Oryctolagus cuniculus: one gene and its partners. The protein of the gene in region 3 interacts with the protein of the main gene of each other region in a pairwise test. Links are inferred from orthologs where the notes say so. Each region holds a gene or a part of one and is shown on either strand. Other genes may lie near its edges. The genes, in order: EFHC1, ING3, TEX11, DUSP21, SNX7, ZNF414 and CCDC198.

Region 1 (4,864 bases), on a different chromosome or scaffold from region 3:
ACTCTTCAAATGGCCACATCAGGCAGGGCTGAAGCAGACTGAAGCCAGAAACCAGGAACTTCATCCAGGTCTGCCATGTAGGTGCAGGGGCCCAAGGAGTTGGGCCGTCTTCCACTGCTTTCCCAGGCCATTAGCAGGGAGCTGGATCATAAGTGCAGCAGCCAGGACACGGCGCCCCTATGGGATGCCAGTGCAGCATGCACTGGTTTAACCCACTGTGCCACAATGCTGGCCCGCTTGCCCATTTTTTTTATTTTTACATATATCATAAATACAATATGAGGAACATAGTAATTCTTCCCACTGTATCCGCCCCCCCCCACTTCCTCCTCCCTGTCCCATAACGGTCTCTCTCAATAGCTTTTTAAATATTTTAGCAAGGTTTCTTTACATAATGCAGGCAAATTTATTTATATATTTACTTAGATTTATTTATAGATATATTATCTTAGTCTACTTTAACTTGCACAAAAAAGTAGCACTCCACATACTTTTGCCTCTTGATTTCCTCACTGACAAAGTAGCTTTCTACTCCAGCACTGTCGATGACTATATTATTATCCCATTGCTTGATTGTAGTGTCAATTATTTAACTAATTCCCTATTTTGGGATATTCAGGCTATCTCAAAAATCTCTTATAGATGTCTCCTTGCACATAATCCAGGATTGTTTCCTTAGGTCAAGTTATTTGAAATTGTTTTCTGAGCTTTTCCTCCTTACTTCCAGAAAGATTATATACCACTTTATACCTCTCTGTTGTGGTTTGGATAAGATTGAGTATAGCCCCCAAGGGTTTATGTATTGGGAGCTTGGACCCTTTAAGGGAGGAATAGAACCTTTAAGAGGCGGGGCATAGTAGAAGTGATTAGGTCATTGCAAGTGCTGTCCTCTGAAGAAACTGATGCAGTTCTTGTGGGAACCTGGTTCATTCTCATAAAAAGTTTGTAGAGTGAGCCTGACCAGCAAATTGTTTTCTGGCTCTGCCATTGTGATACCTTCCACTATGAGGTCCTCACCAGAGCTCAGCCAATGCCAGCAACATGCCATTGAACCTCACAAACTGTGAGGTTTGAACCTCACAAACCTCTTTTCTTTATAAAGCACCTAGCCTCAGGTGTTGTTATAAATATAAAAAGGAATGATACGCTCTCCCATCAGTATCTGCCAGCACGTAAATAGGAAAAATAAGGGGGCTGAGGCTGTGGCATAGCCTCTTTGGTGCTGGCATCCCACATGAGTAACAGTTTGAGTCCCAGCTGCTCCGCTTCCAATCCAGCTCCCTGCTAATGCGCCTGAGAAAGCAGCAGAAGATGACCCAAGTGCTTGGGCCCCTGCATCCACGTGGGAGACCAGGAAGAAGCTCCTGGCTCCTGGCTTTGGATTGGCTCAGCATCAGCCGCTGCTGCCATTTGGGCCATTTGCAGCGGGTGGAAGATTATCTCTCTCTCTCTCTGCCTTTCAAATAAATAAAAAAATCTAAAAACAAAAAAAGGAAAAATAAGATGAAAGAGGCTGTTGGTAACAGTCAACATTTTAAATAGCACATGCAAGAAAATAAAGGACAGAAAAGCAATGGTGGGTTGATAGTTTTGAAATGATGGAAGGAGGCAAATTCTGTGTGAGGTATACTTGGGCATACTTGAAAGAGCGTGTTGGAAGTAGAGTGAGATTTGAGCTCTGGTCTTGGCTTTGACTCATGATCTAGGGAGAGTCACCGAGTCTTAGAGTCTGTTTTTTCGTGATTGGGAAGGGGACAAGTGCTGGCTGAGCCCATGAGGGTCCATTTTGCTCTTAAAGGATTTATGAAGATGAAATATGAGTGAGTCTTCTCCAGCTCTAAAATTCTTTCATTTTGTAACTGTACCTTCACTTTCAGAGAAAATAAAAGTTGAACTTCTACTTCCTGTGGTTGTGTTTAGAAGGGACTGGCAGAGCTCCCCCTGCCTAAAGCTCTGTTACTAATCTTTGCAGTAAATGCTGAGCCCGGCTTCTCATTCCATCACACGGAGCAGTCGCTTAACTGCCATAGATAGCTTTTCACAGAATTCAGCGTGGACTAAAGAGGGACTGTTAGAACTGAAAGATTCCTGGCTGCATCATTATGTACATATTTTCTTTCACGGGCATTTAGTTTTAGATGAGGGAACCTTCATCCGTAACAGCAGTAGAGACAGTCATGTGATTCCTGCAAATACCAAATCTGGCTCCTGTGGTGCAGTGATTCCACAGATGGCAGGAAGAGAGGCCGTTACAAAACTCCCCCCAGTGAGGCTTTCCTGACGTGGACGTCAGCCAACAGCCAGCCTCTGCCGTCAAGTGTTTGGTTATTGGTCAGCTCAGCGTCAAAGCTGTTTGTCATTAGAAGCTTCCCTGACTTCATCAAGTGAGAACTTCAGTCGCTGAGATAAGATAGGTCAAGAATAAATACCATGTCGAGTCATTTCCTTCCTTTCTCTACAGCAAGCAAACTGAAGAAGATCCAGGCGTGCAGGAACTAGAAGCATTAATAGACGCAATCCAGAAGCAGCTGAAAGATTATTCATGCAAAGACAACATTCGTGAAGCGTTTCAGACTTGTGACAAGGAAGCTTCAGGTTATGTGGACAGAGAGACGTTCTTTAAAATCTGTGAATCTTTTAATGTTCCGATTGATGACTCCCTGGTTAAGGAGGTCAGTATGAATTACTACTGCTCTGGGTGGGTGGCAGAGGCTGCGCACTGATCATTCTTTCCTAAAGGCAGTTACATCTGTATTTCTTTGTAGTCCAGAAAGATTTAGGACACTCAGACCAGATCTCCTGTTTTATCCTGATTATGATAACTGCCCCCGGTTCTAGTAGGTGCATTCTTTTGTAATTGCTGTGGCTGTGGCAGGGCCGGGAACTAGACAGCAGAGAGTTATTGGTAGATCAACGTGTCAGGGCTAAAAGGAGAGCATCAGAGGTGATCTTGGAGGGGCAGATGCCAAGGGGACTCACAGTCAAGTTGAGACAAGTATTTGTTCATGTGGGCCAAGTACCCATTTAGCTGCCCAGATCTTAGATTGACAGCATGGTAAGCTTTTGATTTTCAAGTCATTCATACTTTCTGACACGGGAAGCGAGAGGCAAGGGATGAATGGCAGTCACTGGGAAGTGATACCGGGAAGGGGTGGGTGGGGTGGATCCTCATATGTCATATAAAGATAACCGCAACAGGTCAGTTACCAGGCCCAGTTAGGCTTTAGGGACATGGTTTTAGCAGTGACATTACTAGACTCTTTTATTTGCCTGTGATTAAAGAAGCCTGGCATTTCAGTAATCTCACTCCTCATAGGCTGGGTGGACAAAGACTTGAATTTGAATATAAAAACAAAAAAGATTTTAAAAATGACATTGCCCTCATAAATACTGGATGTTGGTCCCAAAATCTTGGATAGGCGTATTCTCTGAAGCTTTGTTTTTATTTAGTGTAAAATTGGGGTAATGCCTGAACCTACCTCCCAGGTTCATAGGATCATTTTAGCATCAACTGAGGATATGAAAACTCGGAACTGGTTTACCAAGGTAGGGTTTGTCATGCCTAAGTACACTGCAGGTAAGCTGAAGGAAGCCCTCATATTGGTTTTTACCTGTTTTTTCTGCTCTCTTTTGCAGTTAATCCGGATTTGCTCTCATGGAGAAGGCAAGATTAACTACTATAATTTTGTGCGTGCTTTCTCAAACTGATCTGGCCAATGAGAGAATACAACTTTTTGATGTTGGACTAACACTTTGAAATAGATCTTGTACTCTCCACAGAGGCATGTCCAGAGCCCCTGAAGTTATATTTCTGTTTTGGTTCTTATATTTCACTACTACTACTGAAGTCTAAATTAAATTAGACCTTTTATGATCTAAGACTTGTCCCTTACTTGGAGTGGTAGAGGTATTGTGATGGTTAATTTTATATGTCAACTTGACTGGGCCATGGGTTTCTGTGAAGGTGTTCCAGATGAGATGAACATTGGGTCAAGCTGAAGTGAGCAGCCTGCTCTCCCTAGTGTGGGTAGACCTCATCCAGTCACTTGAAGACCTACTGACCCTCCCTTAAGCAAGAGAGAATTCCTCCCATCAGACTGCCCTCAAGCTGTGCCATGGCCTTTTCCTGCCTTTACACTAAAGTAAAGCATTGAATTTTCCTGGATCCAGAGCCTGCTGGCATTTGGACTTGAACCACGCCCTCAGTTCTCCTGAGGTTTGCCAGCTTAGCCTGCAGATCTTGGGACTTATCAGCCACCATTACTGTGTGAAGCAGTTCCTTATAGTCAATCAATGTCTGTCCTCCTCAAATACACATGAGGGTATTTCAGAAAGTTAATGAAATTTACAAGTAATGGCATATTTTCCATGAATATTTTAAAGACTTGTATACTCAACACCCACCCACCCACACACACACACAAACACCCCTCCTACTTTTTCTTTGGAGAACCCTTAGCATAGATGTGGAATGATTAACAGCAGGAGGAATGACAGATTTTCTGGAAGCATTTGGATATCAGAAATAAGCATAGTATTGCTATTGCTGCTAGCCAATGTCCCCCCTCCACCTCCCTGCCCCAGTATTGAAGGGAAATGTTTTTCATGTCCACATGTTTTTAAACTGTCGTTCTAGGCCCAATTAGTACTCCTGTATTTTTAAAGGATATAATAGATAATATCAATGTGGTACACATATTAGGGTTTTTTTTTTTTTTCATGAGACTTCCATTTCATCTGAATATGTTTTACTGGGCCGTAATATAAAATATCTTTCTTGATATAGGTTGCAGTTTAAAAAAAATATGAGGAAAACACTGCTTTTGGGAGCCTGGCCTTCAGACAGGAGGGAAAGGCTGGTCTC
Region 2 (4,649 bases), on a different chromosome or scaffold from region 3:
TCTGAAATGTTTGAGGTAGAATATTTAAAGAAAGGCAAAGGACAAAGTGAAAAAGTCTCAGAGATGTTCTAAGTGATAATGGAGAAAATGGGAAATAAGCAACACTGAAGAGCTAATCGTTCAGAATTCCCTGGAACTGTTACAGGACACCAATCCTGACTTTCAGGAATTCCCTTAAATCCTAAAGCATGCTTTTTAAAGCTGAAGAAAGAGAGGAAGTAGAAAGAAAGAAGAGAGGTAGGGTGGGAGGGGGGAGAAGAGGAAGATTCCAGTGAATCTGCAAAAATATCAAGCAGATCTTTCAAAGTAGTCAGAAGGAGGGAAAATGGAAAAGAGGGGCAGGGAAGGGAGGGAAAGTGGAAAGGAGGAAGAGTGAAGGTGCTAGATTTTAGCTTCAAGTGTGTAAAATTAACTACGTTAATTCTTAATAGGACCAGGTAAGTTTCCATTGAGACGTATCAACAGGACAGTCAAGCATCCTGCTTAAGACCAGTGGAAAAGCCCTGAGCAGAGGAGCGGCTACGGAGAACACTCACACTGACGACACTGTTCCCTGAAAAACGGAGAGAGTTAAGAAAGATGGGAAACACCACCACCTAACACTTAGAGTAAGAGTCTCCTGAGGAAAAACATTTTAAAATAAATTCAGCAATGCACACTTAACATATATCACCGGTCAATATTGGCAGGGAGAAATCCAAAAGTAGGGGAAGACAACGCCCAGGACTTCTAACACATGCTACTTACTCAACATAATCTAAATTGCTGGTTCAGCTCATTAGACATCAAGGCTCCACCCGCTACTTATGACTGCTCAGGGTTTTTTTTTTTTTTTTTTTTTTTTTTTTGGTTGTTGCTGCAGGTATAGGTTGTATGTACAGATTACATGAGGATGACAATGACGATGAGCTGGACCGAAAAAACAAAAAAAAACAACAACAAAAAAAAAAAAACAAGAAACAAACCACTCTCGTCTAAACTGGCGCTGATGACTATTCCAGCACCTTTCATCCGGGGAGTGCACATACACGCCACAGTTTGATAAACTATTTGAAGGCTACATGGAGTCAAGCAGACGTCCCTCCCTCCCCCCTTATATTTTCGGCGGTCAACACTGAAGCACCGAATTCTGTCTGCAACAATGGGAATCGCCCGAACTTCGCTGATCACGCTAGCGTTTAGAACCTCTGCTTGTGTGCCCAGCACCAGGCGAAACCCATGACTCACAAACGCCGGGCATGGAACCGCAGCAAAGAACAGGTGAAAAGTTGTTCCTAGTTGTCTGATGCCGGCGCATACAAGTCCCGTCATCCCCTGTGCCAAAATCAACAAATAAACAGAGGCACCGCATTTCGGAGCCCTCCGCGCACCGCTCGCAATGGCGCCTGGTGTCCGTAGTTTTCCCTCACAGAACGGGCGGCACGGCCGCCCTGCCTCAGAAGGAACAGAAACTACACTTCCCACAAAGGCGCTCGGGCAGGCCCTGGCCGGCCTACGTCACTGCGGCAGCCAGCCAATGACAGCGCCGGGCGGCAATGAGGCAAGCGCCGTCAGGCGCCCAAAGTGGTTTTTTTTTTTTTGTTTTTTTTTTTTTTCGCCGGAGTCGAGCGGGTGCTGCTAGCGGAGGCGCCATATTGGAAGGGACAAAACTCCGGCGACAGCGAGTGACACAAATAAACCCCTGGACCCCTTCGCTCCCCCAGCTCTAAGGGCCGCGATGTTGTACCTAGAGGACTATCTGGAAAGTGAGTGCGCGGCGCCGGCGGGGGCCGCCCGTGGGACCTGCGGTCGGGCGAGAGCGCGAGTGGACGGGCAGGCGGGATGGCGGGAGGGAGGGGGAGGCGGGGGATGTTTCTCTCTCACGGTAACTGGCAGCCTCGTTGTGGGCTGCCCGCTCCCTCGACCCCCCCCGACGCACGCACGCACGCACGCAGTGACGCAGGCGCGTACGCTCGCTGTGGGCCCCGCCCTTCTGACGGACTCTTGTTTGACAGTGATTGAGCAGCTTCCAATGGACCTGCGGGACCGCTTCACGGAGATGCGCGAGATGGATCTGCAGGTGCAGAGTAAGTCGGCACGTTTGCCCGCGTCCGCCGCGCGCGTTCCGAGCCGGGCTTGCTTGCCGCCGCTCCTGCGCGGCGCTCCGCGGGCACCTAAGTTGTGGAGAAGAGCTGGCAGGGCCAAATCGCGCCTGGTTTTTTTTTTTTTCTTCCCACGCTCCATTTATTATTATTTTTTTTCCTGTGACGAAATAAGAAGGCATTAGAGTATATGTATTGCTTCCTCGAAATGGGACTGTGCAAAAAAAAAAAAATGTTTTATATCCTCATGAGGGTAATACCGGGTGTGGGTTAGCGATGATCCCGTAAATGCTGAGATTTTGACCAGCGCCTTTATGGATCGAACTTGGATTTCAGCATCTGTTTGTACTTCTGTTCGAGTTCATTCCGAAACGTCCAAGAGCCCGGCTTAGGAGTAGATCCTCAGAGATCCCGGCAAACCTGGAGTGTCATCACACGTTATAGGATAAGCTTGGAGTTGTGGGCTCGATCCTCTTTTCCAGGCAGAATGAGCGGGAGATAAGATGTTGCTGCCAGGCTGGTCAGTGGTAATAATTGGCAGCGGGCTTCCCTGTCCTCCAGTGACGGCTTGCGAGTCTGGTGACTTTTTCTCAGACAAGGACTCTTAAGTAGGTGGCCCAGAGACTACCCGAGGTGGCTGAAGAACCTTTCTTTCGCAATCCACTCCGTGTGTCTACTTGGTGACCACCTAGGATTCTCTACCCAAAGGTTCATGATTCTGCTTTTCTCAGCTTCTGCACAGTTTTATGTAGCACGTAACAAGTGGGAATGTGGCACAAAAGCCACCTTTTTTTCTGTTGGTTAGATTGTAGCGTGGCAGGAAGTGAGAAGCACGATTCTGCAGCTGGCTGACAACATGCGTTTGAACTGCAGTGTAGTGAAAGGCCAGTGACACGCTGAGTAGAGTTCTGTGTAGGACGGAGTGTGGACTTCGATGTCGGGCAGATCTGCGTTTATTTTATAGCTTTATCAGTAGACTCATTGACCTCGATCGACTGCATTACCACTTTTGAGAAGTTTCCATTGACTGTAATAAGAGAATCCAATGAGAATTAAAAATAATACAGATAAGTTAGAATGTATGATATCTGATACAAAGTAGGTGTTAAAGAAAGGGTGGCTCTGTTATAAACATTTTCATTGCAGTTACACATTTTAAATTCTCTTAATTTGAACTTAGCTTGTACAAACTACAAGTTTTTTTAAACTAGCATTTTTTTAACAATAAGTAGAATTCTTTAAAGTTAATAGGTATTATGAATTAACAAAAATGACCATATGTCACGTAAGTTAGGGAATGCTTAAAGGAAAATACTTTTTTAAAAATTTTATTTATTTATTTATTTAAAAGAGTTACAGACAGAGAGGGAGAAACACAAAGAAGTCTTCCGTCCATTTGTTCACTCGCCAAATGGCCTCAACGGCCGGAGCTGAGCAGATCTGAAGCCAGGAGCTGGGAACTTCTTCCAGGTCTCCCACGCAGATCATTAGCAGGGAACTGGACCAGAAGAGGAGCAGCCAGAACAGGAACCGGTGCCCATATGGGATGCCAGTGCTGCAGGGAGAGGCTTACTCTACTATGTCACAGCACCCCAAAGGAAAATACTTTTTTATAAATTAACCATGGGACTTCTCAATCTTTAAAAAGCTGATTATGCACTGGCAATCTCCAAAAGATGAGTATAGTACAGAGATTTTCCTCAACCTAATTAGCAATGGAAATCTTTTTATTTTTCCTCTTTTTGGGAAAAACTATTCATTATTCTAGGCATATACTTCAGGAAAAACTTACTTAGAATAAATAATATCGTGTATGAAGTGCTAAATGGTTGTACTTACTGCTTTCAGCTTTGATATGAAATGATGGAATGCTTAGTGCCATTGAGCCAGTTGTTAAAAACTTTTTACTGATTTTCTTATGAAAAGCCATGTGAGGATATTTTAGTGGTGGTCTCTGTGAGTAACTGTGGTTGGGCACATTCAGTTGATTAAATACCGCTAGCCATTGACTGTGTCCCAACCCCCTGAGGCTGTACTCTTCAAAAACTGTGGTTTAGCTCTGATCCACTTTGTTAATCCTAGTTTAATTATTGGAAAAAATTAAAAAACAACATAAATAAGTAGTAGGGAAATGTGTAACTTTTAAAGATTAAGTTAAGTGAGCATTATGTATTTATGTAACTGAAGCATAACATACTCAAGTTATTGGTCAAGTGGAACAGTGTTTATTGTCAGATTTGTTTTCTTTCCTCTAAACAAAGCATGCCTATTTGATGTATGATGGTGGTTTTCTAAATAGGGAATGTTTTTATTATGTTGTAGATGCAATGGATCAACTAGAACAAAGAGTCAGTGAATTCTTTATGAATGCAAAGAAAAATAAGCCGGAGTGGAGAGAAGAACAAATGGCATCCATCAAAAAGGTATGTGTAACACTTCAAATTATTCATTAACAAATACCAGGACCCTCTGAAAAAGGTACCTCAAAACTGAAGAGTTTTCCTGATATCAGAATGAGGAATAGTTAGTTATCAGTGGCTCTTTAGAATTTAAATAAATTATTTATGT
Region 3 (3,539 bases):
GGTCTCCCCGCCCCCCGCAACTTCCTTCAGTCACAGAGGGCCTTATTGCTTTAGCACTTCACATGTCCCTTCCTGACATCTCACGGTGGAATATTCTACAGCTGACAACGCTTCCAGGCGCTCTCCTCCTGCTCTCCAGGAGCACGGGCTCCCTGCGTATCAGCAGCACCTGTTGTTTAACAGGAACGGGCTGCGGCAGGGACACAGGTGGCGCTGCAGTGAGCTGTGACAGCAAGAACGACCCAACACCCACTGTTCTTGGATTTCAGGAAGGCTACCCAGAAATGGAGGTTCTCTGGCTGATGACCAAGTCCTGGAACACTGCGATATTAATGTTTAGCAAGAAGAAGTACGTGAATTCTGAGAAGTGGTGTACCCTGGCAATGCGCTTCGTCTGCCACCTGGGCTCCCTCAAGGAAACCTATGAAGTTCAGGTGAAGAAGGAGAGGCTGGGGTGGCTGGCATGACCTCGGGGCAGAGAGGCTACAGCAGGACCTCCAGAAAGACTGACCCCTCCCTCCCGTGGCCAGGAAAGGGTTGATCCCTGTTCCTCTCAGTAGTTCCCTATGTGAGGCCACTGCCAAAAGTTTTTGGAAAATGGAATTAAAAATAAGGTTTTTGGGGGCACAAAGAAAATTTTGAAAGTCAAGCATAGTTTTTTCATAATACACACTTTCCATAAACTTTGGGAAAAGACCCCTTGCATGCAGATTTCAAAAATTTTTGTACCAAAGTAAACTTACCTCTTAATTCCATTTTCTGCAAACTTTTGGAAGTACCTTTGTAATTTCATAAGCAGTCACTTTGGAACCATAAGCAGTCACTTCTTAGAATGAAAACCAGGGGGCTGGCATTGTGGCGCAGCAGGTTAAGACACCGCCTGTGATGCTGGCATCCATATGAGCACCAGTTCAAATCCTGGCTGCTCTACTTCCCATCCAGCCCCCTGCTAATATGCTTGCTTGGGAAAGCAGTGGAAGATGGCCCAAGTGCTTGGCCCCCTGCAACAACATGGGAGATCTGGGTAGAGTTCTAGGGTCCTGGCTTCAGGCTGGCCCAGCCCGGCTGTTGTGGCCATTTGGAAAGTGAACTAGAGGATGGAAGATTCTCTCTCTCTCTCTCTCTCTGTGTGTGTGTGTGTGTGTGTGTGTGTGTGTGTGTCTGCCTCTGTCTCTCTCCTCTCTCTTCTCTCTTCTCTCTCTCTCTCTGTAACTCTGCATTTCAAATAAATAAATCTTTAAAAAAGAAACCACAGTGAGAACCGGGAGGGATACAGAACAAGGGGGACCTTAGTCTCAGCAAATGAAGACTAGCAGGAGTGAGCTCTGGAGAGAAGCAGCACTGTCCATGCCAGTGCTTGGGGGGAGGAGTGTCCTCACTGAAAGCAGTGACTGGTTCCAACCAGTGTTTTCTCCCAGAACTCTTCTCAGTTGCAGGCTTCTGGGCCATTAGCTAACCAGGAGAGATTTAGTGGAGAAAAAAACCTTGTTACCAAATAAAAACCAAGGATCTTTTTTTTTAAAGATTTATTGATTTATTTGAAAGAGTTACAGAGAGGCAGAGGCAGAAAGAGAGGCCTTCCATCCACTGGTTCACTCCCCAAATGGCTGCAATGGTCGGAGCTGCGCCGATCCGAAGGCAGGAGCCAGGAGCTTCTTCCGGGTCTCCCACACGGGGTGACAGGCAGAGTGGACAGTGAGAGAGAGAAAGGTCTTCCTTTTGCCGTTGGTTCACCCTCCAATGGCCACCACAGCCGGCGCGCAGCGGCTGGTGCATCGCGCTGATCCGAAGCCAGGAGCCAGGTGCTCATCCTGGTCTCCCATGGGGTGCAGGGCCCAAGCACTTGGGCCATCCTCCACTGCACTCCCGGGCCACAGCAGAGAGCTGGCCTGGAAGAGGGGCAACCGGGACAGAATCCAGCGCCCCGACCAGGACTAGAACCCCGTGTGCGGGCACCACAGGTGGAAGATTAGCCTAGTGAGCTGCGGCGCCGGCTGGGCCACCTTCTATTGCTTTCTCAGGCCATTAGCAGGGGGCTGCATTGGAAATGGAGCAGCCAGGACTCGAACCGCCGCCCATATGGGATGCCGGCACTGCAGGCTTTACCTGCTACGCCACAGCGCCAGCCCCTCTTTGTTGTATTTTAAGCACCATCTTCCTTGTGATCGCCCTGGCCCTATCAAACAGGCCTAGTTGTATTGGGACCTTCTTCCTCAAGAGGGGGCTTTATCTCCGCACCCCCTCACCCTCAGAGTGGCCCCTCCGGTCTCAGAAGAGAAGGGTTGGCCTTCGTGCCATCGCCATAGGTCTGGGACGCTTTCCCACATTTCCTTTTCCTTTCGAGAAACCTGTTTTGTGTTGTCTTCCCCAGATGAACATCCTGAGCAGTGAGCTCATGCAAGCGCTGTCTGAGAAGAGGGACACGGCTTTTACCGGAGAGTGAGACCCACTGCAGCACAGCACACGAGCGGGCAAGCCTTTTGACGACACTGCGAAGTTGAATGTTTGCATTTTTGCTAGACTTTTGAGTCTTTGGTTCAGTTCTCTCAGGTGTCATTTTCATGTTCGTAACTGAGATTCTTGAAAATAAAAGCATTTTGACCTTGACCTCAGTGATCAGCTCATTTCTAGGGTGCAAATGAATTTTCCAAAACATTAAAATAGCGTATGTTTGAGCAAAAAGCTTTATGCTCCAAGTGAGCAAAGCAGGGTGTTCATGGTGTTCATCCCAGTACAACACAAATAGCATTGTGTTCCCAAAGTCTCAAATGCCCACTACCCCAAAGTAATAAATAACCATAAACTCTTCACTGGAAGGAGCTCGGTGGTTGTCTGAGCCATGAAATGTCTCTGTGACATCCTGGAGAACCCGGTGATGTGTCTGAGAACATATCCATGGGGCAGGTGTTGCGGTGCAGCCGGTTAAGCCGCTGCTTGGGATGCCCAAGCACCCTTTCCAGTCCCAGCTGCTCCACTGCCGAGCCAAGTCCCTGCTGATGCACTTGGGAAAGCAGCAGCAGATGGCCCAAGTGCCTGGGCCCCTGCACCCACAGAGTGAACCAGCAGATGGAGGGTCAACTCTCTCTCTCTCTCTTTCAGATGAATAAATAATCTTTAAACAATAACAACAACACATCTAGGGGACTCCCAAGATATCTCAAGCCACTTTTTTTTGCTGTCTGGGAGCGAGCCCTTTCTTATGTGAGCAGAAATCTGTCTCCCAATGATAAATGTGCTCTCTCCATCCCAAATGCCCCTCGGAGAGCTGGGGACAGAAGCCAGGCCCTTTCCTCTCCTCTGGCCCTTTCCTCTCTTCTTCAAGTTAGGCACTGTCAGACCCCTAAGCTGTTCCTTCCTCACCTGATCAGGGCAGCTCTCTGTCCAAGAGCCAAATCCCATGTCCCAGGTGGGTCTACCCCGTGCAGGGGGTGACAGCCTCCTGCTGCCTACACTGGCACCAGAGCACTATTAGAGTACATTGGGCTTTTCCCCAGTTGATTTGTATTAACAGTTTTGGGTTTTGTTTTATTTTTTTAATT
Region 4 (3,253 bases), about 20 Mb from region 3:
CTCATCCACCCAGGGAATGCCCCACAGTGGAATTTTAGTAAGACAGCTTGTCTTTGAGAATCGTGTCTTAAATTATTCAGGTTAAGTTTACAACATTTTTAAAGTGAAGAGGTGTATGTTTATGAACTAACTAGCCTCTACTACTCTTTTTAGGGCCTCTACATTACTCTGTAGATTACAAGGCTCCTCCTAATGTCACATCTCACACCTGAACCCTTTAAAATAACTTTAGCCCAATTGAGCTGTCCTCAACAGGCAGCTTTTATGTTTATTCTGTATTTGTGTTCTGTTTTCTTTCAGATAGATTTGTGGGGACTGATAATGTAAGTAATGCAAAAGTAATTTGATTGTGACAATTGAGAACAAGAAAAGGTGCTGTGTCTTGAAGTTATCATGTCTTTGACCGTCATAAACGGGCGACATCTATTTATCTTTGCTCATAATTACAACATACCTTTGCACACAAGCCAAAATGACAGTGGAGTGAAAAGGCAGTATATATATATGAGTCTCTTGGCTGACTGTTAGTTTTAGGTTATGGTGATTTTCAATTTTTAGTCAACCTTTATGAAACTTAACTACAAGGAAACACAAATAGGAAACAGCATTAAAAAAAAAATCAGTGTTTGGCCCAGTTACAATGGAGTGTGAACTTGTTCCCAAAATGTTTAATATTACTAAGAAGACAGGTTTTGGTGGTGGTCAGAGTGCCTGGCAGTTTACAGAGTATGTGGGCATTCTTTTTGAAGAAAGTAGACAAGATAATTTGAGTTCTCGGTTCAAGGTCATAAAGTAGAATCAAGTGATAACATCATTTTGGATCTATGTATAAATGGGGTGTGCCACAGCTAAATCAGTCACCACTGCCCACCACAAGCCAACTTCACATTAGATAAAGGGTTGTGTAACAATTAACAACCATCCCTCCTGTGTTTGTAAGCAGGAGCCTAAGTCTACCGTTACAGTCAATAAAGAAGTATCAGACCAGCTCACCCAGCCTCGCATGTTGCTACAGTTGCACAGATTAGCACATCGTGTGAACCAAATGTTGAGCCTCAGTTTAGAAACCTAGACCCTGTTCCTCAACGCTAATGAAATGGATGCACTTGCAGATACTGTATTCAGTGTAGTCAAACAACAGAAGTTTAAAATTAGGTGTGTAGTCACAGAATACTTTATAAAATCAAAAAAGACCAGAATTAGGCCTTGGAAAATAAACAACTATGAAGAAAGATGAGAAGAAAAGAGATGGGGAAGGGAGTGGGGGAACGGTTTCTGATGAGCACGTGATAGTGTCCTCCCAGCCGGAAGTGGCCATCGCCGTGGAAACCAGAGCATCAGATTAACGGAATTCTGTCGTCAGCGAGGGTAGAGGAGCAGAGAGGCAGGGAGTGGTGATCTGTGACCAGTCCTTTCTCTCCCAAGCCCATGCTGGAGACTGCTTTCCGGAACTCACTCGCGAGGGTGGTGTCCCGAACGTGAGCAGAGACCTCAGATCTGCCGCCATGATGACAGCCTCCCGAAGCTGGTTTTCGTCTTCGCCTGCGGGGCAGCCCTTCATCCACAGCCACTCCCAGATAACCCGCAGCCTTTACATCAGCAGTGGGGTGGCCGCCAATAACAAATTCCTTCTGTCTAGCAATCACATCACCACGGTCATCAACGCTTCAGTGGAGGTGGTGAATACATTCTACGACAACATCCAATACTTGCAGGTACCTGTGACCGATACTCCCAACTCACACATCTATAACTTTTTCGATATTATTGCTGCTCACATCCACAGCGAGGACATGAAGCAGGGCCGAACGCTGCTACATTGTGTTGCGGGAGTGAGTCGATCAGCCACCTTCTGCCTTGCGTACCTCATGAAATACCACGCCATGACCCTGCTGGATGCCCACGCCTGGACCAAGACGCGTCGCCCCATCATCCGGCCCAACAACGGCTTTTGGGAACAGCTGATCCATTATGAATTCAAACTGTTCAGCAGGAACACAGTAAAAATGATCAGCTCGCCAGTGGGTGTGATTCCTGACATCTACCACAAAGAAGTCCAGTCGATGATGCAGATGTGAGCTACTCAGCCCACCCGGATGTCCCTGGCCAACAATGCCTATTGATGGGCAACAAAAGACAGAGGGGGGTTGGAATTTTAAATATGCCAGTCTTATCTTTAAAGAATAAAAATCACTATGTATAAGTTTGTGACATATGTCTTCATTTGGGAAGGGCAGGTCGGGCTGTTGGGACCTGGCTGGAATTGATCCTGCCCTGTCCTGACTTGAGTGCCTCCCCGCCCCCCCCAACCCCCCACCCCAGACCTGTTAGCAGCTCTAAAAGCGTCAGGAATTCTGAGCCCTGCCTGAGGCTGATTAACCCAGGATTGAGTCCCGCAGAAACTCACCCCGGTTCTTTCTGAGGCAAAGTCAGAGCCTTAGACATCCTGGTTCCTTTTGCACTTCTTTGCAGTAAGTGCTAACCTAGTGGATTAGTGACCTTTCAAGGAGTACGCTGGGAGCTGCTGCCATCAACCACAGTGGCCCAACTCTGGTCTTCTAGATTGGACTTATATACTAGTTTTTGAAGAAACCACTCTATGCTATAAAGTTTAAAAACATGTCTTGAGTGCTATGCTGTATGGTAAGGTCTCAAGGTGCTCTTGGCAATCCCCCACCAGTCTTTGTGAAAAGGGGCCTTAGCCCCTCTCCCAGGGCCTGCGCTGAGAGACCAGGTCTGACATCAGGCCTCAGGGGTTCCTCTCCTGGGCCTTGGCTTGCAAGGTTGTAGTTGGCAGCCATGACTCGGCCCTGTCACCTCTGAAACCTCCTCCATTGTGATCTGGGGCCTCTCAGAGGTTCGGTTTCCCGATGTAGCAATGATAGCCCTTTTCGAACAGAGTTGTTGTGACTACGTTCCCACTTGACACATGAATGGTTTCATGCTCAGACTAAAGGGTCATGAGAACTCTTAGCTCCTGCTGTATGGGGTCAGCACACTCATACTCATAATGACATTTTCCCCACAAGTGCACAGCCCTTTCTTGTTTACAAAGTGCTCTTCCAAAAAAAAAAAATCATCCAGTGTGGAAAAACAAATCATTTGCAGTCATTTTAGACCCTGCCTAAGAGGAAGCCTAGATTCAGAGCTTTCTCAGGGGTCCCATTGTGTTTAACCTACCCCCTAAAAACACCTTGTTCCCAATCACTGATTTTGGAGCCAGAACCCTGGTCTCACTAACCAGCAGGACCCA
Region 5 (4,194 bases), on a different chromosome or scaffold from region 3:
CATTAACAGAAAATTATCATACAGCATATGAGATGTTTTCATCCAAATGTGATTTGAGTGTCTCTAAGCCTAGTTTAGAATTTTAGGGATTCTCTGTTTTGTAAAAATAGATAAATACCACAATGAAATCTGCCCAAACTATCCATGATAGTATGAATAATTTTCTTTTTCAAAAAATACTAGTTTCATATGGTCATTATTTCATGAAAAAGGCCTAGACTCTGGAGGGAGGAATTAGGAAGGGTCATTCAACCTAAAATTTCATCAGGTAACAACTAACATTTCCATTGCTTTAAAATTTTATTTTAAAAAACTTTTCAGCTGTTTGAGCATGCTGAGAACTTTTTAAAGTTTTAATGACTTAATTTAGAGCAATATGACAGATTTCACAAATTCTAGTGAGTAGTAAGATGTTTAAATATAGATAATGATATATATGGATATTGGACAAAATTGCTCACCGCTTATAAATTCTTTACCCTGAAATGCTATATATCTCTAAAAGTTGATAGTGTGAATGTAAAAATGTAAAAATATTCACGTTTTAAAATGAATTCCAAATTTTTGAGTACGTGACTTATCAAGCATTGAATACTTTGGTTACTTATTCATTCATTCTTTCATTGATATGAAAATATTTATTCAATACATTATATATCAACCTTTGAGATACAAAAATAATAAGACTCAGTCCTTGTTTTAAGGAGCATATGGCCTAGGAGTATGTGAGTTTTGCGAGCAATTACTATAGAATGGGATAATGCTTTAATAAAGGTGTAAAGTTCAATAGGCTCACTGAGTAAAGACCAAGAATCTTTTGAGGGGCTGGCACTGTGGCACACACAGTGGCTTAATCTTCCACCTATGGGACTGGCATCCCATATGGGCGCTGGTTCTAGCCCCGGCTGCTCCTTTTCCAATCCAGCTCTCTGCTGTGGCCTGGGAAAGCAGTGGAAGATGGCTCAAGCGCTTGAGTCCCTGCACCCAAGTGGGAGACCTGGAAGAGGCTCCTGGCTCCTGACTTCGGATCTGCCCAGCTCTGGCCATTACACCATTTGGGGAGTGAACCAACGAATTGAAGACCTTTTTCTCTGTCTCTCCCTCTCACTCTCTGTGGCTGTACCTCTCAAATAAATAAATAAAATATTTTAAAAAAAGAATCTTTTGAAACAACATTGGGGAGGTTTATTTGAACTGATATCTAAAGGATTAGAAGTGGATTGTTGGGTGATGGAAGTGCTACAGGGTCAGAGGGATACATGCAAATGTTTGAGTGAGGAAAAATCATGAGTTATTCATGAATGAATAGTTATTTTGGCTTAAGTCAAAATATATTTAGCAGAGAATCTCAAGAGTTTGACCTAGAGAGGCAGGTAGAAGACTGATCATAAAAGACTTTCTAATTAATAAGAAGCTACATTGTTTAAACATTGTGACAAAAATGGAGAGATTGAGACTAGTTAGAAGTAGTGCAAATTAGAGATGCTGATGGCAGTAGAAGTCAAAATAGGTAGGCAAGTAGTCCATAGACGATAAATAGAGATCTAGAAATATTAGACTTGATTGATTGGCTGAGTGCAACTATTAGTCTAGAATGACCCCATCCCCAATGTTTTTCTTGGATTTCTGTATAGTGACATATGCAATAAGAAGAAAGGGATAAAGAAGCAAAGTTTTGTTTAGGGCATATTGCCTATGAGACACCCAGGTATGATTATGTGGTAGGCAGAGAAGTCCATGACTGATATGGTTATCATTTGTCTTCCAAGTACAGAAAAGGGATGCTGTTATTGACAGTAGTCATTCATTTGAAGGTTGATCTGGGCAGACTGGAATGGTCAATCACTAGGATAAAAGATGATCTCATTTTCTTAGGTTCACATGTAAAAATATGTGCATAGTGAGAGAAACAAGGTCATTTGTTACTGTCCATGCCATTGGGATTCTGAAAACCTTTCCAAATTGAAGGACTTAAGCCATTATTTTGTTTTAGAGTATTTTGATGAAATGAAAGAATATGGCCCCATTCATGTTCTGTGGTCAGCGTCAGAAGAAGATTTGGTTGACACTCTAAAAGGTGTGGCCAGCTGCATCGACCAATGCTGTAAGGCCACTGAAAAACGGATGTCTGGACTTTCAGAGGCCCTGCTTCCTGCAGTACATGAGTACGTGCTCTATAGTGAAATCTTAATGGTAAGAACACTCATAATTATCATTTTACTTGAGTCTCTTCCCTGCTTATAAGTGCTCCACACGCAATTTCTGATTCTGTTTCCGCATTATTGTCTTCTTGTTCTAACAAGATGCTTTGCATATAGATGCTCAATAAATATTTGTTCATGGTGAGAGTGAATACATCAATTAGAGAAGACAATCAAAATAGAATTGCTCAATAGCAGCACCAAGGGTTTGTTAAAGTATATACAGATTTGAAGCATCCTCAATCAGGATTTACCTAGGAATATGGTTAGCTTTTCTAATCTTTAAAATTCTATTTATTTTTTTAATCATCTTAAAAATTTCTTTTTCATAAAGGACTTGCTTTCTTCTTTTTAGTTACATTTGATTTAGCAATATATTTAGTACCATTCTGTGAAAAGTACTTGTGTAGGATTTTGATGTTTTTTCTGCTTTGTGGTTGCTTCTGAACAGAAATACTTCAAATGTTTTTTCTTTCACTGTTTGAAAAGGCTTTTATTCCTTTTATATGAAAACTTTGCATTTACCTCCTTAGTTCAAGTCAATGTTTCCAGGTATTTGGGGTTTAGTACTAATATCTGTAACTTGATGTTTTTCTTCCAGTATTATCCTGGGCAAGCAGTACTTTGCACAGCCAAATTAGCACCCTTAAGTCTCTGGTGTTTTAGGGTGACAGTAAAGGAAGGAACAAGCTTGCATTCACATACAGCCCTTATCCTTTCAGTAACTGGAGGCATGTCTGGTCTCTGTTGTCCTGAGCCCTTGATTTCTAGGTTGTGGGTTTTTTTTTTGTTTGTTTGTTTGTTTTTTAACTTTTTAAACTTTTCTTGGTAAGGAAAGCTGTGTGAGCCTTGATGCCTAAGATCGATCTCTGTCTCTGTCTCTCGCATTAGGCATATGTAGGTTTCCTTTGACAGAGTCATTAAATATCACAAGGACATTTCAGGCTTCTGCTTTAACTTGACTTTATTGGAGCCTCCTATGATAAACCCTAATTGCTTCTGCAAGGCTTCTAACGTTTCACTGCACAAGAGTTGGCTTCTCTCCATCAGTTTTCTTGGCTACATCCCATGGTTTTATTCATTATTGATCACCCTCTTCTGTGGTTTTCAAAAAGAACTGGTTTATACATTGTCTTTCCTTATTTATTATATTAATTATTTCTTCTATATGATGTCAAGATCAAAGTTATGCAATTTCAATCTTGTTGTTAAACCTATGGAAAGCTATCATAGCGATCAGGAAGAATAATTGTATAGATATTCATTTGATCTAATTATTTTTTGACTTCTAGGATATAAGCAATGGTTTTTATATTGTAGTTCTTGTGTTTTGTATTAGCTTTGTTTTCTTCAATCTGAGCTAAAATATGAAAAGTAATACCTCGATAAGAATGATTAAATCTGTGATTTTCATTGGTTGTTTTCTGAAGCAACCTCTTACTCAAAAAATACATATATGCATATGAACCTTAGTGCTTCAAATTTATGGAAATAAACCTTCAGTAAATGGGACAAAATTCTAGGATTAGTTATTTGGATTAGGGAAAGAAAGGGATTTCTTGGTATTAGGGCCCCCAAATTTTGAAGTAAATATAAAATAATTTGTGATAATTAGTTGACTTTCTATTGAGTTCTCTGAAACTAGGAGTAATGTAATCTCTTTTCAGTGTTTTAAGAATGATTTTACCAGATGCGAAACTAGCGTGGGTAGTTTTCAGGATTCTTTTCATGCTTTTTTTTAAAAAAAAAAGATTTATTTATTTATTTGAAAGTCAGAGTTACACACAGAGAGAAGGAGAGGCACGGAGAAAGAGAGAGAGAGAGAGAGGTCTTTTCATCCAATGGTTCACTCTCTAGTTGGCCATAATGGCCAGAGCTGAGCCGATATGAAGCCAGGAGCCGAGGGCTTCTTCTGGGCCTCCCACCCGGGTGCAGAGGCCTAAGGACTTGGGCCATCTTTTACTTGTTTCCCAGGCCACAGCAGAGAGCTCGA
Region 6 (4,624 bases), on a different chromosome or scaffold from region 3:
CGCCCGCCCCCCATCTCAGCCCGGATCAAAGAGGCGAGAAGACTGGCAGCTCCCCCTCTGACAGCAGCGGCGACGCACTGGGTGCAAGCGGGGCCGGGTCTGGGGTGGGGGGGAAAGGGGAGAAGGAAGCGCGTGAGCCTCGGCTTCGCCTCACCCCTGTGCCCCCCGCCCTCTGCAGCGGCGCTGTCCCCTGGCCTTACCCGCTGAGGCGTCGGGGCGCGGCCCGGACGCCTGGGCCGCGGGGGCGCCAGGGCGGTGGTCCTCCAGGTGCAGGGTCATGGCAGACCGCGAGGCCGTGGAGAAGGCGCACTGCATGCATGAGTAGCGGCCGCGCGTGTGCTCCCACACGATGCGGCCCGGAGCCGCGTGCCCTGCGGGCAGGCAGGCGGGACCCTATCAGTCCCGCGACCCTAGCCCGGGGGCGGCGGACGCGGGCGGCGGCTTGGACTTTTCCTCGCTTCCCCATCAGCTCCCGTGCGCAGGCGGCCAGGCCTAGCTGGATCCGTTTCTCCCGCCCGTCATCACCGCCGTAAACTCGGCTTATCCGCGGCCCCTGCGCCCACGAACCCTCGCAGGTGGGGAAAGGAGCGCTCCACGGTGATTGGGCGGGCGCGAGTTTCACACGGGAACGCCGGCGCAGAGGAAGGCGCAGGTGCCAGTGGTTTTTAAGGCAAAATCCTGTATTTCGGGGTGGCATTTTTTAGCCACCTGGGAACGGGACGGGCACAGATGCCTGCCAGTTTGCACTGCCCCTGCAGGGCGCAGGAAGGAAAGCCCCGCCAACCCTCCCTGGTGGTCACCTGCACGCACCTGAGGGCGCATCGGAGCCGCCCTGGGGTCTTCGGGGGCTGCCGCCAGCACCTGCGATAAAGGGGCGGGTCAGGTCCAGTCAGGGGGAGTCCAGCCCGCCGCTCCCTGCAGGAGGCCGCGCCCCCGACACTCACCTTGGCTCTTTTTCCAGACGGCAGCGCTGGAGGCCGGTGGCCCGGGCGCCGCAGCCAGGAAGGGGCGCAGGCGTGGGGGGCTTAGGCCGAAGGGCGCGGGGTTCAAGTAGGGTAGGAAAGGCCCGCTGGGGGCCGGGGCGGGGGTCGTGAAGGGCTCGAGCAGCGGGAACTGCAGGCCCGGCGCCGACGCGGGGTCAGGCTCCTGGGGCCGCTCAGGCGCTGGGGGCTCCTTGTCCAGGGCCGGGGGCGGCGGCGGGGCGGGGCTCTGCGCATGCTCTGCGCAGACATGCAGGTGCTTGAAGAGCGAGCGGTGCGTGCGGAAGCGCAGGAGGCAGTTTTCGCACCTGCGGTGATAAGGTGCGTGTGTGCCACCCTGTGCCACCCGGGGACTCGCTCTGGGAGCGTGCGAAGGGCCCCCACTTGCAGGCGCCGGGCTTCGCCAAGCACCTCCCGCCCACGACAGCCGCGACCCCTCCAGACTTGGAGCCCTGGCAACACGCGGAAGGAGGTCTCAATTTTAAGTTAGGGGGTGCGTTTTCCAACCACGCATGCTCCGCCCTTTCTCTCTCATGGGCAGCTCAGACGGGCGGGACTCGCCCGAGGCCACGCCCATCTCCTCCACCTTGGCACTAAGCGGGGAGGGCGAGGGGCCTGGCCCTCGACCCCGGGCTGGGTGAGGCTCTCACTTGAAGTAGCGGTTGGGCTTGTAGTGCAGCTTGCTGTGCGCCACCAGCTCCTGCATGCTGGGGAAGCTCTCGGTGCAGCTCGGGGCAGAGCAGCGGAAGAGCTTGCCTGGAGGGACGGAGGGCAGAGGGGTGGCTGAGGCTGGCCCCCCGGAGGGGTGGGCCCTGCCGGCCTCCTGAGCACCTACCCTGGCCCTACCTTCCAAGGACTGTGGGGGGGGGCAGTGCGTACGAAGATGCTGTGCCAGGTCCCGAACGCTGGGGAAACTGAGGCAGCAGCCAGGGCTCGAGCAGGGTATCTGCTTCCCTGCAGGATGACAGGACTGGGTGGTCAGCGGTCCCTTTCCCAGGGACACCACCAGCCACCCCACCGCCCCGCCCCTCCACCATACTGGGCCGCCAGAGGGTACACGGCCTGGCTGGTGCTTGGTCCATGGGCAAAAGCATCCCTCGGGCAGACCAGCTGGACCCCAACGTCCCACGTCTGCATTCCTCACTCCAGTGGTTCCCAGGCCCGTGGCTTCCCAGAAGGCCCCATCACAGGTCACCTGGTGCTGGGCGTCGTCTGGGAGGCCGCAGCTCCTCACTGGTCCCCGGGGCTGTGCCGGCTGGACCAGGGCTGGGTCCAGGCTCTGAGGCTGGGGAGGCACCCTGCTGTGTCCCTGCGGGCCACACTGGGGGCGTAGCTGCCCGGTCGGGGCCCGGCGCCTCCTCCATGGAGGTGGAGGCAGTGGCTGCCACCACCGGGGCCAACACCTCCTTGTCGGTGTCACTGGAGCTGGGCTCTGCAGTGGCCGGTATGTCCGGGCCGGGCCCCGACGGTTCCTCCTCCTGGTGGAAGGAAGAGGGGGAGGGAGCTCCTGTGCGCCCCAGGGAACCTGTCCCACGAGGCCCGGACATTTCTGGAACCCCCTTCCCCACCTAGAAGTCACCCTGGCACCCCCATTCTAAGGAGGCACCTACAAGACAGGGTGGGGGTAATTGTGCCCATGAGACACATCCCCAATTCCTAAGGCAGGGAAAGGGCGTGGCCCAGGAGGGGGTGGGGCCGCGGCTTTGAAGGCGGGGTTCTGGACTGGACAACCCTAGGCAAGATGCTGGAGAGGCCAGAAGCGGATTGTTTGAGGATGGAGACAGGCCCCGCCAACCTCGGGCTGCATAGACGGACGTGGAGCAGCTGAGGGCCCGGATATGCCTAGTAGAGGGGCGGAGCCCGAGCCCTGTGGGCGTGGCCGTGTCGAAACCAGGCCCGGAAGTAGGGGTAGGGCGATTGCCGAGTGACAGCCAGCTGCGGGCTGGTGCCCGGATGTGGGGGCGGGGTCGGTCGGAGGGTGTGTGCTTGGCAGGGACGCTCCCTGTCGGTTCCCGCTGCTCCGCCGCGCCCGCGCCCCCGGCGCCGCGCTCACCATCCTCAACCTGGCTCGGCCTCTCGTTTTCGCGGTTCCGGCGGCTCGGGCTGAGGAGGCAGCGACTTCCTCGGCGCTGCGGCCTCGAGCTCACGTCGGCGCCATTTTCCGAATCCCAGCTCTCGCGAGAGCGGGGGAGCGGAGCCTGCGCGAGGCGCCCCGCGAGGGGCGGGGCCTGAGATGGGCTCACCCTGGGCAGCCGCGAGGTCGCCGCTGTGGGCGAGCGCGGTTGGCGCCTTGCGGAGAACCGGCGATCGGGATGAGGGGGTCCCTCCTGGTCTCCGTGTCGTCGGCGCAAAATGGACATCCTTTCGGGCCCGTCCCGCCACCCACCCTCCAAAGGCGGCAAAGTGCGGTTCTCCTGGATTGAGCCACCTCCTTGCGGGGAAATTGGCAATTGGAAGGGGTCCGCTGAGCTGGTGGCTTAAGTGCCCGTCTTCAGGCTAGTCTTGGTCCAGGTGCCGAGGTCCCGGAGGTGAGGCCCCTAGGGGGCCGCTGCAGGGATCTGATCACCAGACCCACGGAGGCACTTGCTGCTCTGGTAGATAAAGCCCTATTGGCCAGTACTGTCCAGAGGGATTCGTGTAGAGGAATTCCAGGTCCAGGCGGGGAGACTCCAGGTCCCCAGCTCCCCGTGACCGCCCCCCCCCCGACTTGCTGAATCCCACTTGGCCACCCTGAGAATTCCCGAAGGAGCGCGACCTCGCTGACCACTCAAAAGGTCACCAGCGCCACTGCCCCAGGGTGCGAGGTGCACGGACCGAGCTGAGCACGCACCTGTCAGCCCCATTTCAGTCTACCAGAACCTTCATCCCAGCTCCTCCGGGAGCCCTCGAATTAAGCAAGAGCTGCCCGGCTCCTTGCTCTGCACTTTGCAAATAAATCCCCAATGTCCATGGTTGGGTTTCTGAGCGTTGGGTGAACGGACCCAGGTTTGGGGGTTCTTACAGCAACACCCACTATTTTCGGAATTCTGAAACAGGGACAGATTTGTCTTTGCCAAGGAACAGTGGGGGGGCGAGCGCACTGCAGGTGCATGGCCAGGGCGGGGTGCAGAGGTCCGGAAGTGGCCTCGGTGCAGAATGGGTCATCAGGGCCAGGTGAGCAGTGGAGACAGAGGGTGTGGTTTGTGTTATTGAAACCACTGATGAATTTTTAGCAGGAGGAGGCTTACCATCGGCTCTGTGGGGGTCATTTGAAGGAGAGGCCCTCTGGGAGAGATGGGACAGTACAGCTTAGATCTCTGTAACACGTTATTCAACCATCCCAGAGGTGCTGGCTGAGCCGAAGACAAATGGAGGCCTTGTCAGTGCCTGTGCCTCTGTTGTAAGGTGTAGGTGAGGATGTTGTGGCGTGGTGAGGATGCCCGCTTCCCCTATCGGAGTGCCTGGTTTCCAGTCCTGCCTCCAAGTCCAATCCAGCTCCCTGCTGATGCGCACCTTGGGAGGCAGCAGGTGGTGGCTAATGTACTCTGGCCCCTGCCACCCACCGGGGAGACCTGGATGAAGTTCCAGGCTCCTGCTTCTGCCTGGCCCAGCCCTCGCTGTTGGAGGCATTTGGGGATTGAACCAGCAGGGGAACAATCTCTCTC
Region 7 (4,719 bases), on a different chromosome or scaffold from region 3:
GGAAAGAAATCCTAAGGTATTTCCTATAACATTCTGTTTAACAGCATGATCATTATCAAGATCTCTCTTTTATGATTATAGTTAAAAAAGGATGTTACCATTAAATCCAAGCATTTCCTTATGAAGCCTTTTAAATTCATCTTACTTGAGGTCTTCGGGGTGGATGCCTTTTAATAATACTTGTTTCTCCCTGTTCCAGTGGGATGTCAAAATACATGGCCTGGGACACTTGAGAGATTGGAAGAGAAACAAGAATATATAATTAAAACCCATTTACCGCTAAATCAGGCAAAGTGATCATGAACTGATACCACAATTTTGTACCTTTTCTATTATATTTTCCAACCTACATCTTGAATGTGGAGGAAAACACACAAAGCAAGGGCCCTACTTGAATACAAATCATTAAAACTTAGTCTTGCCCAAAGACTTGATTTCTGATTCCTTATTTCTGCCTCTGGTTTAATTTAGAGGGATATCAGAAAAATTAAAATATTTTCACTACAAATGCTGTTCAAATATACAATTTGGCCTGGAAAATAGAAACATATTGATTTGCTTTAATTCCAGGAAATCTTCCCCCACCCCACATGCACACAAATAAGAAACCAGACAAAATATAGCTTTAACAAAGGAAACTAATTGTCTTTTCAGATTAGATAGATGGCAGATAGGTAGTTGGAAAGGTGATTATATAGGTGGAGAGATGATAAAGAAATGGAGCAGGAATGTCTAACAAGAGTGTGCAATGTTGGCATTGCTTGAGGATAATCAAATAATGCCCCCAGCCCCCAACCAGGGAAAGAGATGCCCAGAAGTTACCACAAAATACGACATATCAGTATTCTTTTCTGATGCAGCAAGCCAGGGCTACAGAGTTAAGCCTCTGCTCAGAAACAGAGAGACTTAACAGATCCACTTTATTTTTTAGCTTGATTATCCTGGGCTCTTGCATTTGCTACCATGACCAATGCTAAATGGATGGAATTTTTGTCTTCCCTTCTTAACCGTCTGCATGCACACTGATTTCTAGATTGTTGCATAGACTCTCCTACAGTCCTAGCTTCTTAGTTTTAAAAAAGTTATCTGAAAGAGAGAGAGAGAGAGAGAGGAGAGTGCTTTCACATGCAGATTCACTCCCTAAATACCCACAAGGACTGGGACTGGAGCTGGAAGCTGGCAACACAGTCAAGGTCTTCTAGGTGGGTGGCAAGAAGCTAATTACTTGGCAGCACCACTGCTTCCTAAGGTCTGTATTAGCAGGAAGCTGGAGTCAAGAGCAGGAGCTGGGAACTGACCTCAGGTACTCCAATATGGAATGCGGATGTCTTAACTGCTTCCTGTTTTGTGAAAGTATGTGTCTCTCCTTATGACATTTGAAGGACTGCTTTCAGGATTTTGTTCTTTCTGATTCTTAGTAGAATGGAAATTGTGCCCTTACTTCCTTTCAAAAGGATGCTGACACATGGAGCAGGGCAGAAACAGCAGCAACAAAATATGGGATTTTAAAGAGCAGATATTCTTTGAAATTTATTTTCAGCAGTTTGACTACTCCTGACTTTCCTACGATGGTGTGAGCGATATCACCCCATTGTTCAATTTGATTGTCCTTAAATGGCACAGGCTGTGTCAGCCAATTATTCTGATTCCTAATTATAGAAGAAGAAAATTGATGCAGTATCTTGATCAAGGTCATACAATTGGCATTTGGTGAAGCTGGAGTTAGGCTATGGACTCCTTGAAAATAATGTTCAGAATGCTTACCTATTCCTTGTATGATGAAAAAATTTTTTTTTAATTTCAAAAATAAACACATTTTTCCCAGTAGCAACTAGAAAGCACTAGAATCTGTTTTCACCACTGAGCTGGCAGAATCTTAAAACTCCAGATAGGGGATTTTGTATCAAAAAAGGAATTCTTCACTGAAACTAAGAGGGAAATTCTCCCTCATGTATCTAAGACATTGGTGAACATAAAGGACACGGAGACCGGACCACACAGAGCCTGAGTGTCAGCTGGATTGAAAACAGCCATGCAAATCGCTCTGAGCAAGTTCTGCAAGGTTGCAAAAGAGAATATACGATTTTCTGACCAAGTCATCTGGTAAGGAGCGTTATACTTGTTTTACTGATCCAGAATATGAATAAATGTATACATTCATGTGCATTATAAGTACATGTTGAGCTTTCCAAATTAAAATGTCTATTTCATTCATTGCAGTCATCAGAAAACATCTTACGTCTCTTATAAAATATTTCAAGGTAGTTTATAGCCCTGTTGGGCTGAGAGCTTCCAGTCATAATGGGACAAGTTCTCTTAGTTCTGTGGATGACCATCAAGAGTCTGGGTTAGAGAAGGGGGGACTGATCCACTCATATGGAATGGATCCATGCTATTTGTAGTGGCTTTAAAATTCCCATCAGAGTGGATTCACTCGTGAAGTGCTACCTTCAAAACCACAAACCCAACTGTGCCAGAGACAAGGATTTAAATTTCAACTGTAGCGGAAACATGTGATTACTATCATTTATCACATCAGGATCATATAATTTTAATCTCTGCCAAGGCTAGGTGTAGACACTGAAAGCACTATAAACTGAAACAAAATGAGTTTTTCTTCTCTTAGGCAGTGGTGAAAGGATCTCCCCAGCTTCTATTTCTACTCCAAGGCACCCAGAATACTTTAACTTGACCATAGTCAATCCCCTTGAAAGATCCCTTGCAGATCAGCGACTTAGTAGCATTATGTAGTAGTAGATTATGGAGACAGGTAAATCTATCAACAGCTCTCCTTGATCCATACACACGAAACTCCTGCTGCATTGGAGACTCACCTGTAGAATATCTTCCGTACCAGGTTTCTCGTAGAGGTGGCAGTGGTCCTTCCAAAGCTTTGTTCTGGTCCTGCAGTCTTGGCAATGAACATGAGCTCTTTTCTTCCAGGTTCTGTTTGATTGCGAAGTCCACAGGGCCTGCCGGGGCAGTCTCTTCCTCTTTGTTTCGCAAAGGTGCTACTTTGATCACCCTAGGGTGAGACTTAGAGTGCCTCAGACCCATTTCATGTGAAAGACATTCAAGGGTAAACCACAAGGGAAGTGGTTTAGGTTCTTTTAATGCAGCTTATTTTCATCAAGGTATTTCAGAAGTGTACTTGGCTTTAAGAACCAGTCATTTCCTCATGGCCTCTTTCTAGCTCTGTTTCACCACACACTAACCCCTCTGGCCACTGCCTGGGAGGTGGTTTCCATGGAGACTTCCCTTCAACTCCCACTTTGTCATTTCAGAGCCAAAGAATCCAGTTAAATATTGACTTGCTTATATTACTTTCTGAAGAACTCAGTGATAGGAAGAGAAACACCACTGATCATTTAACAAATATCTAACACAGAAAGGCCATGAACAGAGATGTAAAGCAAAGATGTATGGAGGTCTTTTTGTTTTTTTAACTTATTTTGAAAGTCAGAGTACAGAGAGGGAGGGAGAGACAGAGAAAGCCTCCATCTGCTGGTTTACTCCCCAGATGGCCAGGAGTTGAGCCAGGAGCTTCTCTCAGGGCTCCCACGTGGGTGCCAGTGGCCCAAAAACTTGGGCCATCTCTCACTAATATTCCCAGGCCATCATCAGGGAGCTGGATGAGAAGTAGAACATCCAGAACACGAGTTGGCGCCCATATGGGATGCCAGCATCGCAGGCAGCTGCTTTACCCACTTGGCCACAACACTGGCCCTCTGTGGGGATGGGGTAGGGGTGTCTTAAACCTGACCCTTTACTGCAGGTATCTTGGTAAGAACTAACAACTGAGAAGACCAAGTCACCTTTAGGAACAGAGGGATGCATGCTAATCATTGAAGGCTTTGTTAATCTTTAATTTTAGTGAAAGAATTTATCTTCCAAAAAGGACAGGAAATGGCAGAGTGATTAAATCTTCACTTGATTTTTTTTTTCCTGCCAATGACTTATCTTTGAAGGGAGTGAATTTGTGTATATTACAGGAAGTAGAAAGTCAATAGGATTTTTTCCTTTGGGGACAAGGGGACAAACTTTTTGAATAAATGGCCCAAATGAACCTAGAATTGTTACTGGTGAATGACAGGGTTCTTGTCTTCACGCAAGAAAGAATTCAGGCGTGAAACAGAGTAGTGGAAAATAAAGTAGCAAAGTTTATTAGGGAAGGGACATCTGTAAGAACTGATGGGCACCTCTCCAGACAGAACCTGAGAGAGAGCGCCCAGTTACTTGGACTGGGAGGAGGAGCGAGGTTACATGGTTGAGTGGAGAGAGTACACCTGGGCAGGCCAGGCAGGCAGCTCAGCAGAGAGGCAGAGGGCTGAGCGTACCTTCTGGTTGAGGCCGGGGGTTTTTAAGGAGATGGGTCTTTGTCTTCACACATCTCCTCCTGAAACAAAGGATTTTATGGATGTAAATATTAAGAAGTTCCTATCTGAGTTTTCCCCTAAAGGTATCAGAGAGGAGGAAGCAGAGTATTTGAAATGCAGATACTGGGCTGCATCTGGAGGACTGTGGAAGATTGTCAGGCAGAAGGGGCGGGGACCCCCACCTGGCAGGTTATCGGGTAGAAGGGGGCAGGGCAGGATGCGAATACTGGGCTGCCCCTGAATACTGGGCTGCCCCTGAACCGTTATCAGGATGACTTTGAGATGCAGATGCATATGCTGGACATAGATGTCTTTTCTTTAGGCCTTTGTCACACACACATAA

Evidence for each region.
Region 1: the proteins of TEX11 (region 3) and EFHC1 interact in binary tests that used the Homo sapiens proteins (3 or more experiments, as listed by UniProt). The two-hybrid records come from large-scale screens. The link is inferred for Oryctolagus cuniculus from reciprocal best matches to the Homo sapiens genes TEX11 and EFHC1.
Region 2: the proteins of TEX11 (region 3) and ING3 interact in a two-hybrid assay, tested with the Homo sapiens proteins (2 studies listed by BioGRID). The two-hybrid records come from large-scale screens. The link is inferred for Oryctolagus cuniculus from reciprocal best matches to the Homo sapiens genes TEX11 and ING3.
Region 4: the proteins of TEX11 (region 3) and DUSP21 interact in binary tests that used the Homo sapiens proteins (3 or more experiments, as listed by UniProt). The two-hybrid records come from large-scale screens. The link is inferred for Oryctolagus cuniculus from reciprocal best matches to the Homo sapiens genes TEX11 and DUSP21.
Region 5: the proteins of TEX11 (region 3) and SNX7 interact in binary tests that used the Homo sapiens proteins (3 or more experiments, as listed by UniProt). The two-hybrid records come from large-scale screens. The link is inferred for Oryctolagus cuniculus from reciprocal best matches to the Homo sapiens genes TEX11 and SNX7.
Region 6: the proteins of TEX11 (region 3) and ZNF414 interact in binary tests that used the Homo sapiens proteins (3 or more experiments, as listed by UniProt). The two-hybrid records come from large-scale screens. The link is inferred for Oryctolagus cuniculus from reciprocal best matches to the Homo sapiens genes TEX11 and ZNF414.
Region 7: the proteins of TEX11 (region 3) and CCDC198 interact in binary tests that used the Homo sapiens proteins (3 or more experiments, as listed by UniProt). The two-hybrid records come from large-scale screens. The link is inferred for Oryctolagus cuniculus from reciprocal best matches to the Homo sapiens genes TEX11 and CCDC198.

Annotation. Positions count from the first base shown.
Region 1 is NC_091436.1:117,479,732-117,484,595, reverse strand, and holds the end of EFHC1 (EF-hand domain-containing protein 1), read left to right. Parts: intron 1-2,461; coding exon 2,462-2,672; intron 2,673-3,636; coding exon 3,637-3,708; 3' UTR 3,709-3,879; downstream 3,880-4,864. UniProt on the Homo sapiens protein: Microtubule inner protein (MIP) part of the dynein-decorated doublet microtubules (DMTs) in cilia axoneme, which is required for motile cilia beating.
Region 2 is NC_091434.1:156,936,329-156,940,977, forward strand, and holds the start of ING3 (inhibitor of growth protein 3), read left to right. Parts: upstream 1-1,518; 5' UTR 1,519-1,717; coding exon 1,718-1,745; intron 1,746-1,994; coding exon 1,995-2,066; exon of another isoform or gene 2,067-2,789; intron 2,790-4,403; coding exon 4,404-4,504; intron 4,505-4,649. UniProt on the Homo sapiens protein: Component of the NuA4 histone acetyltransferase (HAT) complex which is involved in transcriptional activation of select genes principally by acetylation of nucleosomal histones H4 and H2A.
Region 3 is NC_091453.1:50,428,463-50,432,001, reverse strand, and holds the end of TEX11 (testis-expressed protein 11), read left to right. Parts: intron 1-269; coding exon 270-434; intron 435-2,371; coding exon 2,372-2,443; 3' UTR 2,444-2,607; downstream 2,608-3,539. UniProt on the Homo sapiens protein: Regulator of crossing-over during meiosis. Involved in initiation and/or maintenance of chromosome synapsis and formation of crossovers.
Region 4 is NC_091453.1:30,605,815-30,609,067, forward strand, and holds DUSP21 (dual specificity protein phosphatase 21), read left to right. Parts: upstream 1-1,358; 5' UTR 1,359-1,505; coding exon 1,506-2,078; 3' UTR 2,079-2,185; downstream 2,186-3,253. UniProt on the Homo sapiens protein: Protein phosphatase component of the sperm flagellar doublet microtubules. May act as a regulator of sperm motility by mediating dephosphorylation of sperm doublet microtubule proteins.
Region 5 is NC_091438.1:71,768,945-71,773,138, reverse strand, and holds part of SNX7 (sorting nexin-7), read left to right. Parts: intron 1-1,993; coding exon 1,994-2,193; intron 2,194-4,194. UniProt on the Homo sapiens protein: Involved in the regulation of endocytosis and in several stages of intracellular trafficking. Together with SNX4, involved in autophagosome assembly by regulating trafficking and recycling of phospholipid scramblase ATG9A.
Region 6 is NW_027208201.1:4,535,392-4,540,015, forward strand, and holds the start of ZNF414 (zinc finger protein 414), read right to left. Parts: upstream 3,028-4,624; 5' UTR 2,788-3,027; coding exon 2,776-2,787; intron 2,459-2,775; coding exon 2,176-2,458; intron 1,935-2,175; coding exon 1,827-1,934; intron 1,737-1,826; coding exon 1,631-1,736; intron 1,289-1,630; coding exon 945-1,288; intron 862-944; coding exon 811-861; intron 372-810; coding exon 201-371; intron 100-200; coding exon 26-99; 3' UTR 1-25. UniProt on the Homo sapiens protein: May be involved in transcriptional regulation.
Region 7 is NC_091443.1:19,295,130-19,299,848, reverse strand, and holds the start of CCDC198 (factor associated with metabolism and energy), read right to left. Parts: upstream 3,247-4,719; 5' UTR 3,058-3,246; coding exon 2,835-3,057; intron 229-2,834; coding exon 146-228; exon of another isoform or gene 141-145; coding exon of another isoform or gene 99-140; intron 1-98. UniProt on the Homo sapiens protein: May be involved in tuning the metabolism, energy expenditure, and excretion processes.